Caenorhabditis elegans: one gene and its partner. The protein of the gene in region 2 interacts with the protein of the main gene of each other region in a biochemical or structural test. Each region holds a gene or a part of one and is shown on either strand. Other genes may lie near its edges.

Region 1 (9,478 bases), 7.7 Mb from region 2:
CGTCTACAACAATTTCAGTAGTCCAGTCCTCCACTATTTGAGCTCCTCTCTCTGTTTTTATCTGAAATTTAAATTAGCTGTGGGCGTGTGTCTGAAGGTAGTTCAATTGTCTGTCAGGGAAAAAAATAAAGAAATGTATTGAAGAAATATTTGTCAGTGAGTCAATCGGGTATACAAATAATGAATTATCGAAATTATAATCAAGAAAAAAACAAATGAAATCATACCTCGCACACCTGTCTATATTTAGATTTTAGTGAAATTAGGTCAAACTGTTAAAAGCGGCGGTGATTTTTCATTTTTTCGGAAGGCGGAAAATTTTGCATGATTTCATACATTTTCCTTACATTTTGGCACATTGAATTACATTTTTATTTTTAAGTGGATATCATATTTTTTCCAAAATTAAATCTACCTGAATGTGAACACTATCGCCGTCATTGTAGATTCCCAAAGGGATTCGAACACTTGATTCTCCAGTTTTTACATATTTCCAAGCCGCTTGTTCTGATTCAGATTTATGGCGAACTGTGTACATTGTATCTGAAAACTAGGTTTTGTTTGTTTGTTCTCACAAAAATGCTGAATTGTTCAAATTTTATCAGTTATTTTATCGGAAGTGATAAGAAAATTTGAAAAGAAAAAATCAATGCTTTGGAGATTCATTTCATTGACAAGCTTAACTCGGAACGCTTAAATTATCATATCTAAAGATATTGTACATACTTACTCAACTTCTGAAAAAACTGCCTCCACTTTCCACATTAGGGAAGCAATTGAAGAAAGGTTTCTAAAGTCTTATGTCCTAACTTATTGCAAAAAATTGTTCTTACTTTGTGATTGCGATCCTGATTGCCATTCCACGTAGATAATATCTAATTCTGGCACAATTCGTGCTTTCGGCTCTCGAACCACCGAGATTGGCTGAGATACTGTGAGGTACAAAAATAGAAGTGGTAAAAGTATAGGTTTCATGGTGGAAACACGCAGTTTGAGCGGCAGGGGTAAGAAGAAGCGAAGGTAGTAATGAAAGTGCGACGACAAGGGCAAACACGAGCCGCCCTGGTCAGCGGTATCTCGAAATGATACATTGCAATACGCAACTGGCCATTCAAAATGTAATATCTGAGAGTTTGTGAAGGATAAGTGTCACTCTTCGGACACAAATTACAGCGGATTTCAAACTTTAAACCAGGAGTGAAAGAGAATAGGATTGTTGGAAACGGTTGATTTTGAATTTGTGATTAGATGATTCGCTTATCTCCGAAGTTTGAGTTTTAAACTCCAAGCTCAATGAATTAAGAAAAAGGTTCGGATGGTTGACCGAACATCAAATTGTGAAGAAAGGGGTAAAGGTCAAAAGTTAGAAAGTTGAACTCTAGTGGTTTAAAATATTAAATCAAAAGGAAGAGAACAATGGGTTAGGGTTCTCGGTTGAAATGGAACACACATTTTCTTTGGTTACATCTATATCTGTATTCAACAATCTCTGGTACATGTGTTTTTTGTCGTGCATTTTAGTATGAAATATCAATCGAAATGAACAAAATTTGACAAATGAATGAAAATATAACTGCGAAGGCCGGTCGGCGTGAGGCCGGCGTGAGGCGCCGCCGCCGCGCCGCTCTCACATGGAAGCCCTACTTTATTCACTTCGATCTTTTTATAGTGTTTTAAATACTTTCCAATTTGAGAAACACGGAACATTTCTGAGAAAATCGTAAATCTTATGAGTTTTCTGGGTGGATTACTTATTGGAAACCAAGACTGCCAAATGGGTTTTTGAATGTTCTCAAAAACTGTCGGTTTTTGCCATTAGGATTAAAAGCGGGAGAAACGAGCTCTCAGAACTTATACGTTTCTCTAGTTTCTTTTTCCGTTCCACTTACTCGTACTCATAAATATGATGTAGTTTTCAAATGGTTTCTAGAACCAAATACATCACGAAAATGTATATTTCTAATTTCCTACAATGCGATGTTGCGGGTCGTTGTTTTTTCATAAGAGAGATTTCATTCAGTTCGTTAGTAGTTCCACTTTTAATTTGATACTTTGTTTGTAATGTAATTTTTAACGATGATCAAGTTTTTTTCAACGATCATTAATATGTTTGTAATCACAACATTACACATTTCCGAATACTGTGCTAGCAATTAATAGATGCACAAATGGTTTTTGCTGTGAAAAAATTCTGTCCAATAGGATTTGTTTCAAGTTTTTTTTTTTAACTTTGATTATTGTTAACCATTTTACTTTGATTCCTGCAGTTGCTAATTCTCCAAATAGATTTTATGTCGGTTTTATTGAAAATTTAAGAAGTAATAATAATAATAAATATTATATTTTTAAATTACCGTTGTCGGTACTTGTTGAGATAACCAATACTGTAAAATTATGAATGCGATGGCAAATTGAATAAGCATTTTTGCATCTGGACATTTAAATACTGCATTTTGTTGGTTTTTTTTAAACATTTGCATGACTGAGTCTCAGCAAGATCTTTCAAATGTTTTTCCTTTGGTATTTTCCAAAGCAACTTTCAAACATTTCTAATTTTTTGAAAAACTATATTTTTTCTCAGTTGTGATTTCACCACAGGTTCAAAAGTTTACATCAGACTGGAAAGCTCCAAATATTGTTGTTTATAAAGAAAAATACTTTTCATCGACGATAATTGCAGTTTTCACGCCAATATTGCTATGTCTGCCTAAAGCTAACATATTTGTAAAGCAAAACTACGCCGGTTGATTCTGACAATCCTTTGGATTCAAATAGTTTCTGGAGTTATTCTCTTGTTTTCACACTTTTCTATGTTTTTCGTTTAACACTCCAGCCACCGTATCATTTAGCAGTAGTAACATCTGTCATGGCATCGTATTATTTACCAGCTCGATGAATACTACATATTTCTTCGCAAAAATGAAAAAAAAAAACGCAATTTTGTATGCCGAAAGTGGTAGTTTGTATAATCAAGCCCCTCCTATCTCGGTTTTCGTTTTACCACATCTCACTCATTTCTCATTTCCGGACAGTCACCAGCAAAGACACCTCACTTCTTTTTGCTAGTTTTTTTTCATTACTTACACTATACTACAATTCCAATTGTGAAACTTTTCAGAAAATGAACAACTCAACATCGGATACGTTTGTCATGATGCATTCGACTTCAGAAGTTATCGAAATGTTTTACCAGCTTGCATTTTTCATAATTGGTACTCCAATCAATATTTTTGCTTTTGTCAAAACAAGTCGGTAAGTGTTGCTAGAGCTAATACTCTTCTAACACTATAAAAGTAATAATAGCTAATTTCACATTTTGCAAATGGTTTGTCAGTTAAACTAATCTTATGTTAGTTCTGCATGCAAGACTAATTTTTATTAGTCTTAAGCACTGCAATATTAATAGAGAGAGCTGCAAGGCTATTTTCCAAGAAACCGGGGGGTTTTAAGTAATTGCAGATCCTTTTTGCATACTCGACTATCCGTGATTTAAAATTCGAACGATAAACAGTTTACTGAAGTACCTGCATAACCTAAGCCGCGCATATAATTTATTCACGTGCCAAACTATTACAAAACTGATTAAAAATTACAGTCATCGTTTTGATGTTTATTTTTTGTTCATGTTTCTAATTTTATTTGTATATTCAGAAATGTTCGAGAAGGAGGCGTGGAGTCCAGACTGGTCAAGCTTAGTCGACAGCTACTTATTGCCCACATAATGGTTCTTTTTATGTACGGGATCTGGAGAAGTTATTGGATATATAATATCGTCTGGACTCAAGGTGTAGATAATCATTTGAATAATAATTTTATTGTTTTTTAGGAGACATTATGTGTCGAGTATTCAGTTTTCTTTGTGCTCTGCCTTTTCATCTTTGGTCGAACATGGTAGCAGCTATTGCAATTGACATGCTTTGCTGTATTACGTAAGTACTCTATATCGGAATCACTGACTTATATAGTTTTTTTTTTCAGATCTCCACTGAGCAGCTATCGAACAGGGGCAAACCGAGTTAATTGGCTTATTACTCTTGCGTGGGGCTTTGCAGTTGTATGTGCATCACCAATGAGCATTCTGCGTGGAACCATTCAGATCAACGATGAAGATATGTATCAATGCTACCCAAGAACTGATGTATGTCAATTTCCTGTAATATCTAAACGAATTCTGTTAACATATAACGTTTCAGGTATTCAATGATGATGTGTTAATTGCATTCAACCTGTTTCATGTCATAACTTCGTTTTACATTCCATTGTTGATTGTTATCATATGCTATTTGGCTATCGGGGTATCGATACGGAAACAAATGGCGGAACGTCGTTTATTACAGGTATAATGCAATTTTGAAAATCTAACTTTTCAAGTGGAGGAGCCTAAGTTACGGAAATGTTGAAAACTAAGGATACATTCTCGATGAAATTCTGAGAAGCCAAAATTGTTCTACTTTTTTACTTCACCAAAACTTTCAGTGAAAAAATTCAACTTTTTTAACATTTTCTGGCTTATAAATTTTATAAATTTTAAAAATGGAAGCTGAACTCTTAAGTGCTTTAAAAAATGTGGAAACGTAACTCATGAGTGACTAACTTGTTATAGACAGTCTTATTTTTTTCCAGTGATCTTATGATCTGTATGATCTAAATATATCTGAAAACAGAAATTCATTTTTGGGTATAGAATGACTATTAATAACATTTTTGATTTGGTTACTGGAATAACACATCAATTGTATCCTTGAGAAAAGAAAAAAAATTTAACAAACAATTATCTGCTTGAAATCATCACACCTGGTATTTTCTAATGACAAAATAGTTATTTTATTCGGTGTAAGCAGATTAAAGCAAACAAATATGTATCACTGATGATTTTTTGTTGTGAAATTATGCAAAAACAGTTACACTAAAAACCAACAAATAATCAAATTAAAAATTGGAAAAATAAATTCATACAATTAACTTCATTTATTTTTCCAATTCGATACACGTAACAATTAAAAAACATAAACATATTTGTAGGACGGAGGACAAAGTGGACAAAAAACGAACAACACGAAAGCAAGATTTCTCAGAGCTTCTGTGGCAATTATTTGTACGTTCCTGTTCACATGGCTTCCATATCAAGTAGGCAAACTTGAAGTATCGTTTCAGTTATAGATACCGTGAATTTTAAGGTTTTGGCTCTTCTTCGAATTGTCTGTGTTTCTGAAAATTGCCAGGAAATTGTGAGCAAACTGAATTGGTTACAGGCAATTATTATAGCAAGGTATTCAGGAAAAAACATTCATTAATAGTTTTCCCTAATTGTTCTTATTTAGCACGTGCATCAATCCATTCCTATATCGTTTTGGCACTGAGCCAAAAAGAAACTCGTATTACTGCAGTACTATGGACACTGCTGGTAAGGAGGTATGCATGACGGTCAAGTGTTTTTCTTCTCTTTACCTCCGACACTCTCTCACTTCAAAAGCCCTTATCTAATCACGTGGTTAATTTCAACTCCCCTTCTGGAAACCGGTTATTTTCTATAACAAAATTTATCAAACTGCACGTATTTACGTCTTTTATCATTTGAGATAGAGTTCATGATATTCTCAAATTGATCAACCAATTTATGATGAGATGGCGTCAGTTGTCGAAATGGCGTCATACAAAAAGAGACTAGAAACACAGCTTATTAATTTGTGAACGTTCACATTTCAATTAAAGTGACCTTCTTCTCCTAAAAAATTTTTTTAGATTAAGTTTGCAGTAAATCCCCGCAGGTGGTGTGATTTTAGAACTAGACATTGTTAATTACACTATCACACCGTCTATCTTCTAATCACATTTCTCTTTTTCTTGCAACAACGACCTGTTCCACCACCACCTAGAACTACATTTTTCGCATCTTGATCAGCATCACTTTGCAGGAAGTCGGTCTATCCGCCGATCGACGACGGTCCGGGAAGCCGAGGCCCAGCGGATTGTTGCCGCAGCAAATCGCGCACACCGAGAACAAAACTCCTCCCAAGTGTCGCCTCGAGGTACACGCGCCACGGTTCGAGAACAGACGCGCGTCGCAAATCGACTCAAAAACACCAAAAGTAATGAGGTTTAGATGCACCGGATCACTTGACGGAAAAGCTGGCAGATGCTGAGGAATGACCATCAATTTGAAATATTTCGTGTATATTTTTATGTAACAAACTGGAACTTCTGATCGTTGAAAAACTTTTGTCGAACCAACAATGCGAAGATGTACATTATGTGATGTAGCACATTCCTCTGTTTTCAAGAATAATCCCTTCTGAGAAAAATTAATTTATGGTAATAAAACTGAGTGTGCTCTTTTGAAAGTGTTGTTGCATTTTTTGGGAGAAAGTTATGGATGTTAAAAAAAAAACAATTCCTATTCGTAAAATATCTTCTCGTGAAAATTTTTGGAATCTGGCCCAAATGCATGGTAGTACACTTTGCATATTGAAGCCATATAAAATTCATCTTTCAAACTAAAAACTTTCGGAAAAACGGTGAATCTCAAGGAAATAAATATTTTATTTGTTCCCGAGAAAACTATAAAATCTTACAGATCAAATGAAATTTTTTGATCATTTTCTGTTCCGGTTTGTTTCTTTTTTGCAATCCCCTTCTTTTGTTGTTTGACCTGTGTTTTCCCAAATTCCCATCCAGACACCACACTACATACAAATAACTGCAATAAATCTTGCCACAGCACTATAATCTAATTGCTCGTTGTTGCAGTAGTAATATACCTGTCTAGAGGTTACTCTTCTTTCCAACACCTGTCCTTGCCTTTTTATTGTACACTCTGCTCTCTGTCTGCACTCCCATTCTTTTTCGTTCATCTCTCCCTGGCTCTTTTTTTTTCTCATCATTTCATTTTTGTCTGGGTTGTTTAGGAAATGATACACGCATAACCCTTGTCAGATCTTGAATCATCGTGATCTCTTCATTTTTTTTCTTCATGAATCGTGTTGTTTCTATCACCTTATGCCAACAATTATTGTATCTACAATTATAGTTTCAATAAAACTATCAACATTCATAGCAGTGATTGTTTCTAAAATTGTGTGACAGAAAATAGTCGAAAAGTGTTTTCTATTAATTATTCTCACAAACCCACACAAGTGACAAAAAACGTATAGAACATGTGCTTTAAAAATCATTATGATTTATAGATTTTGATCACCTTCATTTTTTCCAATATTCTTCCATCCATTGGAATATTCTTCTACATCAATGAAACAATATGAGAAAAAACCCAATTAGTTTTTAGTTGTATTTTCAAAGACACGCACAGAAAAAACACACAGAAAGTGTCAAATTCTTTGCTGTTATTTTTCTGAAATGTCATGTTATTTTTCCTAACCTATGTTTAGGTCACCTCATCTGTTGCCTACACCAGAGATCTAATATACTTTGCCCGAAGCGAAATGTATTTAATGATACCAATAATAAAAGATACTAAGTACACTTTATTATTCACCTCGTCCCTCGCAGTTAGTTCTGGCAAGATAATATAGATAATATTGTCGTAAAATTTTTTATCAATTTTTGTGATATTGATATTTCATTTTGTCACTCTCCCACTTGTCTTCAAAATTCCATTTCAACGAAATCTATTTTGAAAAAATAAAGCATCGTATAAAAGAGGTTTTTGATTCTTTGACCTTCACAATCGATCATCTCCCAAAAAGATAAACCACGACAAAGTGCCCAGTATTTGCTAGAAGAATCAATTTAGACCCGACTCCTCCCATCTTTTTTCTCGTGTCTCTGACCCTCATCTAGATGCCTATCAGTCTATAGTTTTCATTATCCACGGCATTGTGTGGCAATAAGAATAGTTAAAAGTCAACTTCATACCCTTTGTAACATTTTGTTTCAATTTTTTTTCAATCGATAAATGTCGTTTTCAACTTAATATTGATTTCAGGTAGCTATTAATCAGGTGTGAAAATGATCCAAAACGAAGTTTCCGCTACACATGGATCAACTAAGTAAGTTTTTTTTCAAAAAACACGCACTCTACTAAAAAAAATTTTTTGAATCAGGTTATAAAACAAAAATAACACATAGTTAAAACACAGTTTTTCTGGCTTCAAAACGAATAGTGCTGATGCAATCTTATTTGAAAACTGTAAATAAATGAGGCAGAATGAATTCAATACCATAAAGTTTGAAATTTAAGGTATTTTTTCTTCTCTCGAAAAGAAAATTGTAAGAAAAAAAGAAGCACGTGTAGATAAAAAATTCGTCTAATCTGCTTGAAATCAAAATTTTCTATAGATAAGATAAGATAAGACATTTCAACAGTCTAGCAAATTCACTTTTGCAGGAAAGGAATCACCTATAACACAATCTTAGAAGCCGCTCAACGTCCAACTCCACTTGTCCCACTCAAAAAACTGAAGGTTGAACATCAACTTCAGAGTGATATTTGTGAGTTTTGGTGACAAAAAGCTCATTAACGGCACACTAAACTCTAAAGTTTTCTGAGCCTTTCCGATAGGTTTTTTATTTATTCAACCTCTTGAGTCTGTTTGTTAATGAGATTGTGGTCAAGGGAAACTTTTTTCATTTCAGATGTGAAGCTAGAGTATCTCAATATTGCGGGATCTTTGGAAGACCGTACCGCTGACAAAGCTTTCCAGGTAGGAAATGGGAAGCAGATAAACCTAATTTGTACTTTTCCAGTTTGCTGAAGAGATTGGAGTTGTGAGAGGAGATGAAGTTTTTGTGACCGCCGGTGGGTCTGCAGCCATCTCATACGCAACAGTTGCTGCTGTGAAGGGCATCAAGTAAGTGAAAGATGGGCGAGATCAAAAAGCAACACGTCATGCATCATGTTTATTTTCAGATTGACCATCTACGCACCAAAGGGAGAATTCGATCTTGTGGATACTGTCTTGCATACCCTGGGAGTCAAAACTGTTGAACTTCCATTTGGAACATTTGCAGAGGCTCGTGTTCAAACTGATGAGGCTGCTCAACAAAAAGGTGTCTTCAGCTTGAATAAGTTCACTACCAATGCCGCATTTGTTGCAAATCTTCAAAAAACCGCCCTCGAAATTGAGAAAGCTGTTAATAACAAGTCGATTGGCAAAGTTGGAGCAGTTGTTATTCCATTGAATACCGGAGCTGCCGCTGCTGGAATTGCAGCATATTACAAGGGAATCGGTGAACATGGTGTTCGCGTTGTTGGAGTCACATGCAAAAAGGATACTATTCCAGAAATGGGATTGGACTTGAAAAATGATCTTCTCCAGGTGAGTGTAATAGAAGACGATGACAAGTAATCATAATATGCATACGTGTAAGTACAATTTCAACTAGCCAATTTTGAGGAGTACAATGTTGAAAAACGAGAGGTCGAAGAAGATGAAGCTTATTCTTTCACTCGACATCTCATTGGAACTGAAGGAATCATGGCTGGACCATCATCTGGAGCCGCTGTTCTTGAAGCAATCAA
Region 2 (7,291 bases):
AACAATAGAAAGAGATGAAAAGACAAAGAGAATTGTGAGCCGTGACGTCACATGTTGGATATGCTCACCTGATTCAATCGCTGATTTTGACGATGGAGCCACACAAGCTGGTCATCGTTAGCACCTGTAGACGGGCCATTTGAAGCCTGTAAAATACTCGGTATGTTGATTGGAAAAGGAAAAAAACAGTCGAGTGGGGAAATTGTTTCAAAGCAGGGGTGGGTGGCAATGTTGGTACAAATTCGGCAAATCGGCAAATGGTCGATTTGCGGAAATTGTAGGAAATTTGTATTTTTGGCTAAAATTGAAAATATTTTCCAAAGATTCATTATACTATTTTGCATCATAAAAGTGGCGTCTAACAACTTTCCCGCTGGCGCAACACCACCTATAAGCTCTTACAGATGTACTCTTCCTGAACACAAATTTTTAAAAGTTTTTTAAAAACAGTTTCAGACTTATTTGTTGGAAAAAAAAACTTCACAAGATCTCCGATATTAACACTTTTGTCATCTGATGAATAATTTCTAGAAACACAACATTTGTCATGTACCCGAATGACTTCATGAAAAGCAATCAGACAACAATTATTTGTATCTGATAACCCGTAAGCAAAATATTTTTCTGGTTTAAATGTCAGTGACTCACAACGGACTTATCAAAATTTTACTCTTTCATATGAAATAAGGAAATTGATTTTTGTTGGGCGTGTGGAATGTATAAATATATTTTTAAAGCTTATTCTCTAATGAATACATTAATTTTGGAAAATCTCTGGATTCAAAAAAAAAATTTCCAGGTGTCATTTTTGCGCTGCGGATTCACTAGGATTGTCATATTAAAAAAAAGGAAAAGCATTATCGTTCAGAAATTAATCTGTAGTATGTTACAGAGTCCCCATCCCATGCAGCCAATGGTTCAAGCTTTTCTCCTAACTCCATAAAACTTACGCTGTCAACTAAAATGCACAAGGCTGTCACGAGATTCACTTGTCATGTACAAATAACGTAGCTGTATAGGGCAAAAATTGTATAAAGCGCATGATATAAAACGTTTTTTTTTGTTCAATTTCGGTATGTTTTGTAGTCAGAACTGCGCTGGCGTCGGATGGAGAATTGTAATCCCTACCGTTCTGTTATGGTGCGTCGGGAATCCTTTATCACTAGTCTCCATCACTGCCAAAATACGACGGTTGAGCTCTGTGATGTGGGCTCGGAGAAAGTTGAGCTTCTGCTCATGTACAGCGGGATCCTGAAAAAATGCACACGTACTTGTTATTCTGACCATTTTACGATTTTGTAGTACTTGATTGTATCTATGAGCCCTTAAGTACTCCTACTCATGACACGTACTATATTGTTCAAAGATGACAACGTGATTTTGAACAAAAACAAATATTTGTAGCTTCCAAGTCCTTATAAACCAGTTTTGACAGAGTAGTAGTTTGATGGACCTATTCCACTTTCTAAATTCTTTTTTATAGTATTTTTTTTATAAGTATCTTTTCAAATGAGGAGTAACGGTTCTGGGTATTTTGAACGTAAAAAACCCTAAATGTGCTCAAATAAACAAATTTTGTAATGAAAATTCTCAACAATTATTCAAAACATCTTTATGCCGATTCAAAATTTCAAAAAAAAAACTTGAAAAATTGGAGATTTTAGCAAAAATTAGGCAAAAATTAATAGTTTAGAATACCCATAACCGTTTCTCCTTCAAGTTTTTAAATAATTTAAGTTGTGTCATATTTTCCTGTAATATCATACACCCCCCCCCCCCCAATACAACTTCCAGCTCAGCATTTTCATTTTCTTTGATCAAATTTTTCAGTATGAACCAGGAACTGATCCAATCTGCCTACCCACACAATTTTGCAAAAAAAAGCCTGCCCTCTTAAAATAGGCTCATTCTAAATAATTGGATAAATTGTCAGTTCTTGCAGTATACTGTAGCCCATAAAGTCATGCGTGGTACCATTGAATTTATTGCTTTTTCTCTAGAGCTCCGAGAAACATAACGAGCTCTAAGAATTACTATGATCTAATTGAAACAGAAGATTCTATGAAATCATAATGAAATCACGTGACATCACTGACACACTTGGGTTCGAAATTTATCAACAACTGTTTACTGAAACTGACTGTCTAGGAGAACTGCAATTAATGACAGGACCTGAGCAGTGCAAGTTCCTGTTCCTGGTCAAAATTGAATTTTTTTTTGCTGAGTATGAATTTTTTGACACAGGGAAAATATTTTAAGAACCAGGACATTTAACGGTTCTCTCCAAAACTTTTTTCCATAAAAAGTATCCATACTCGGAGAAACTTTTTTTAGTCTACGGATACTTCAAGTGGTGACAGATAATGGAAAGTACCGTCAAAAGAAAAATCTTAAATGACATGATTCCCACAATTTTGTAATGAATTTTGACCCGGCTCCTAATACTATTCCAGACCTGTACTTTTTTAACGCTTACCAGTGAGACACTCCCTTGTTTCAAGAGCCTCGCTTTTTTCTGAACCGAAAGCAGACGTTCTTTGTACCATTCCAGAAGTTTTGTCGCTTGATCTTGGCCACGTTTCAACATTTCACTCTCTTCTCCTTGAAAATATTCCAATCGTGCCTGAAAAAAATCTTTCAATTTGGAAATAAGTCCCAAAAATTAACCGAAAAATAAAGTGCCGACCAAAAACTAGGTAGTGGATCGAATGAGAAAAACATGTTATGCTACTCCGTACCGGGCTGTCTTCCAAGCCGAACTTGTACGACTATCCCAGGAGAACTAATCTTATAATGAGTAGATCACTGGCTGTCACTACTATTGTCTACTATACTAATAACTGGATACCTACTACTTCCGATTTGTCAAAACACCAATTTTGTCAGTGCTTCTTAATAAAAACTTAATACGTATTTAAGACATAAAGTATACAAACCGTATATAGTTTTCTGGGCAACATTTCGAATAGCAGACTTCCAATACTGTACAGATTTGTACTATGCTTCTAATTTCTGTTTGCTCTGCAGTTTCATAGCTGTTACCTTGAATCAAATCGGTTCCGCACTATGAGCACTATTCAAAAATTGTGACCATTTTCCCCATCTCTTCCAATTTCTGACCAACGTCATTTTGAATACAGAACCAATCACGCAACTCGCCCACCCGCTCGGCTCGATACACCTCAGTTTTTCTTCCCATTCTCTCCCCCCATTTCGCCTGATTCGCGTCTTGCCGCATTCTCGTTATCAATATTCCCACTGGTACTTTATATTGTTATAACTCCGCCCCGTATATATTATGAAAGCCGTATAAATTTGGATAAGCATCTACTGTAATCTTCATTGTTTTCAGCTCTCTCTCTCTCTCCCGAGCTCTTTCTTCGGTTTCACTTATTCTCGCTCAGCTCCCAACAACGCGAGAAATGCGAGCAACCCTCGTGCTTTTTGCTTTGCTCTGCGCAGTTTATTCTGAAGCAGTTCCGCTTCAGGTCTATCGTCCTGACGAATCATCGGTTAGTGGATCTTTGCCAGTAGCATCTGTACTGGTTTCTACTTTGAAAGTTTTTCAGGCTGTCGATGTGGTTGTCCTTGAGAACTCTCCCGAACTGTACGACTCTGAAGATGAAGATGAATGGAAACAAGAGGAAGAGTTCACTGAAGGAGCAATGGGCAAACGAAGCATTGCTCTCGGACGAAGCGGATTCCGCCCTGGAAAACGGAGCATGGACAACTTTCACACTGTGGATGTTAGGTAACTTTGAAGCCTCGTTTGGCTTGTGCAAAACAAAACCTGCTGATTTTCCAGTGATCTCATCATGAAACGATCAATGGCAATGGGAAGATTGGGACTGCGTCCGGGCAAGCGTTCAATGGCCTACGGCAGACAAGGATTCCGGCCGGGAAAGAGATCCATGGCATATGGACGGCAAGGATTCCGGCCAGGAAAGCGCTCAATGGCCTACGGTCGTCAAGGATTCCGGCCAGGAAAGAGAAGCAATGACATGAAGGAGGTCTTCCCACAACACGTTCCAGAAATCTATATAATCTAGAGAACCTGCTCCGACTAATTTGAATCGATCTCTTTGTAATATTCACCGTCATCATCACTGATACTTTATGTACAAACACAGCCAGATTACCGGAATGAAATCGTGTTCTGTTTTTTAGAGTTTTTTAGAGCCCAGTTTCAGAGAGTAATGGTTCGGAAAGAAGTTTCAGACAGGGTGAATATGAATCACAAACTATTTTGATCGGGGATTTTATGCAATATAAAGTCAGATTTACTAATATAACATGTAGGTCAGTTCAAAAAATTTTGTTGAAATCAATTTGTTGAGCCATGTGTCCACTACCAGTGTGCCAAGTTTGAAGGCACGTATGGGTCCGATTAAAATTTGCTCTTTTTCTTTTAGCCTTCCAAAAAATTGTCTCCATACAATTGAATAAATTCTATATGTAATCGCACTGACAATATTGAAACCTTTTTTTTTTCAAAAATTTTCAAAAATTCAAAAAATGCAAAAACTCACTGCCTACTGTTATTCAAAACTGTACTAAATGTATGCCGGTTCGCAATTTTTTTTTGTGTAAGCTGAATTAAAAAATTCTCAGAGGGGTACCCTGTTGTTTTGATCGATGTTCAGCTCATTATGGAAACGTTTTTTTTTCTAGTTGGAAAAACATCAGTGACGTGGGATAGTATCATCTTCAGCTCGTCGTCAGTAAATTGTTAAGAAAAAAAATATTTTGAAGGGAAATCAGATTGTCCAATTCCAAAATTAAATTATAATTAGCCGCCTATAAAACCCAAATCTGTGGCAATTTTTCCGCAGTTCTTCCAGGCTTTTCCGCATTTGACCTTTTTATCACTGATGAGGAGGTATTGGAATTTTGAATGTATGTACCCAAAATGTGCTCAGATGAGCAAATTTCTAAACTTCTCAAAAAAAATTGTTTTTAGTTCCTAGATACACCTATAGTCGTTGTATTCTATTGTAGAAGTGTAGTCCCTTTACGAAATCGTTAAAAAACTCGTAAAAATCCGATCCTCCAAAATATCGTAGTGTCAGTTTTCCGGACTACAAGACCACGTTTTCTTAATAGGTGCTATAAAAAGAAAGACGAGCAGAAGGATGTCCTCAGTCCCACCTGATATCACTTTCAAAGTCAATGGCAGCTCACCTCGTCATTTGGATGGCACTTCTTGGAGTCTCAGCTCATGCTTTGGAGCTGGGTTTTTACTCGGTGAGCTCATATGAACTGAGCTACTTATTTTATCATTTTATGTAATTGTAGCAAATGAACATTTCAGGAACATCCAACGTCTAAAGATGATTCCTACGAATCCCAACTTTTAGATTCTAATGACCTAGACCAAGATGATGCTGTCGACTTGGCGACCCCTATGATTGTTATCCCAAACGACGAAGATGAGATCTATGCCGATGAAGAACCGGAGCCACTAACTATGGAGAAGCGTCTTTATATCAGTCGTCAAGGATTCCGGCCAGCAAAGCGATCAATGGCAATTGGCAGAGCTGGAATGCGCCCAGGGAAGCGTGCATTTGCAGCTGGATGGAACCGCGGAAAGCGATCAATGCCATTTGCAGAGAGCTATTATCCTCTTTACCGCAATGATTTCTCGGAGTAAATAATTTTTGGAATTTCTACAAACATTAATTTTTACTTGTGAATCAAATAAAGTATCTGTATGAAATGATAGCAAAGACATGAGTAATCATCACTGATCACTAGAATAAGGAACTTTTATCATTCTAATTTGAAACCCACGTTTCCAGAGAACAAATCATTGTGGGTGTAAAGCAGTAGTTTTTGTGCAATTTTTCGCATGTTACTTTATGAGTTCACAAAACCGAGAGCAACGTTTTCCAAAAAAAACATTCACCGGTTCCGGTCGTTTAACCGTTTTGCTCCGCCTTAGATGTAACAGAGCAAAAAGCATATAAATTCTGGCCGATCGAGTTGTGCTCACTATACCCCCGTTTTTTATTCTTTTTTATTCTCGAACTTTCCCAACTCGGAAATGCGTTCCATAATCGTCTTCATCGGATTGACGATCTTCGCGTTGGACATTCTTCTGGTCCAGACCTCAGCTCTTGGGCTTCAGGTTAGCTTTACACAATGTTAAAGGAAAAGGGTACCGATCAAATTGTGTTTACGACGGTTCAAATTTTCGAAAAAAGACCTAGATGTGTTTGTTTGTAAATTAGCCTTAAATCCCCAAAAATTTTTTTTTTTTATTATTGACTCAATTTGCACATTTACATCGTTTTTTTAAGTTTAAAATTTCAAGCGGATAGGCAACCAATAGGTTACAAAATTTCAATTTCCGTCCGAATTAGGCCATTTTTATGCGAAAATTTTGAACCGCCACAAAAAAATATTGAAAAACTTTCGCGAAAGTTTATTAAAAAATTCATTCATTTGAGGATATTTTGAAAGTATAAGTTCAAAAATTCCCAAAATCGAGTTCCTTCAAATGGCAACAAGCACCGTAATTTCAGGGTGGAATCGATGTCTTCCGCGGATTAGGAGTTGTCGATCAAGTCGATTTCAATCAGATCCTTCACCGAGCAAACTACCTGCGCAACACTCGTGAGGGGCGCTTGCGCTATTGGAGACTCCGAACCCTTCCAATCATGAAAAAGTCGATTGCGATTGGGCGAGCCGGATTCCGTCCAGGGAAACGAACAACGGACGAACTAACTGGATTCCCAATCGGAGTATGAATTTTCTGATGTTAATTGTTAACCGGATCATTCCGATATGTTTAACGCTACACCAATTATTTCGTATTTTGCATTGTTTTCATTTATCTGTCTAATTATTCTCAATAAACAAAACTGTTAACTTGAGATTTTTTCTTTAAAACTTCGTTTCAAAAATGCCATTTTTTCTGCAGAAGCTAATAAAGAAGGCTATGAAAAAAGTACAGTGGTGGGCACACATCATACGATTTTCAAAACCAGACTAATTCAGAGTCAATTAAACGCCTCCAAAATACTCATGAGAAAGTGGAACCGAAGTTGGAAAAAACGGGAGAAAATTAGTCTGCTATTTTGCTCGGTTTCAAGTTTTTGATATCTTGTGTTTCGGACTCAAAAATCTGAATCTGAAACTTTGTTTTATTGGTTTTTTTTTAATGTTTAAGTTGTCCAGTTTTAAAGGCCCAGTTGCACCAATGAGCCGAAATTTGTTCCAACAATTTCCATGAAAATGTTTTATTGCCAGTCAAAAGTGGCAAATACTGAGTTTTGGCCACTTTTAGGCA

The links.
Region 1: the proteins of nlp-2 (region 2) and gnrr-3 interact in a test that uses a peptide from one of them, tested with the Caenorhabditis elegans proteins (one large-scale study listed by BioGRID).

What each region holds. Positions count from the first base shown.
Region 1 is NC_003284.9:10,046,339-10,055,816, forward strand, and holds gnrr-3 (G-protein coupled receptors family 1 profile domain-containing protein), read left to right. Parts: upstream 1-3,121; coding exon 3,122-3,252; intron 3,253-3,651; coding exon 3,652-3,785; intron 3,786-3,826; coding exon 3,827-3,929; intron 3,930-3,978; coding exon 3,979-4,138; intron 4,139-4,193; coding exon 4,194-4,337; intron 4,338-5,022; coding exon 5,023-5,127; intron 5,128-5,177; coding exon 5,178-5,269; intron 5,270-5,321; coding exon 5,322-5,412; intron 5,413-5,915; coding exon 5,916-6,143; downstream 6,144-9,478. Other genes in the region: ZC374.2 (Fibronectin type-III domain-containing protein), read right to left, coding at 1-61, 416-543, 834-975; Cystathionine beta-synthase cbs-1, read left to right, coding at 7,966-8,006, 8,345-8,448, 8,593-8,660, 8,704-8,807, 8,867-9,275, 9,354-9,478.
Region 2 is NC_003284.9:2,340,817-2,348,107, reverse strand, and holds nlp-2 (Neuropeptide-Like Protein), read left to right. Parts: upstream 1-3,341; 5' UTR 3,342-3,422; coding exon 3,423-3,512; intron 3,513-3,569; coding exon 3,570-3,751; intron 3,752-3,805; coding exon 3,806-4,049; 3' UTR 4,050-4,161; downstream 4,162-7,291. Other genes in the region: nlp-23 (Neuropeptide-Like Protein), read left to right, coding at 5,170-5,244, 5,312-5,650; nlp-22 (Neuropeptide-Like Protein), read left to right, coding at 6,044-6,127, 6,525-6,749; T01B6.1 (uncharacterized protein), read right to left, coding at 69-146, 1,129-1,251, 2,477-2,623.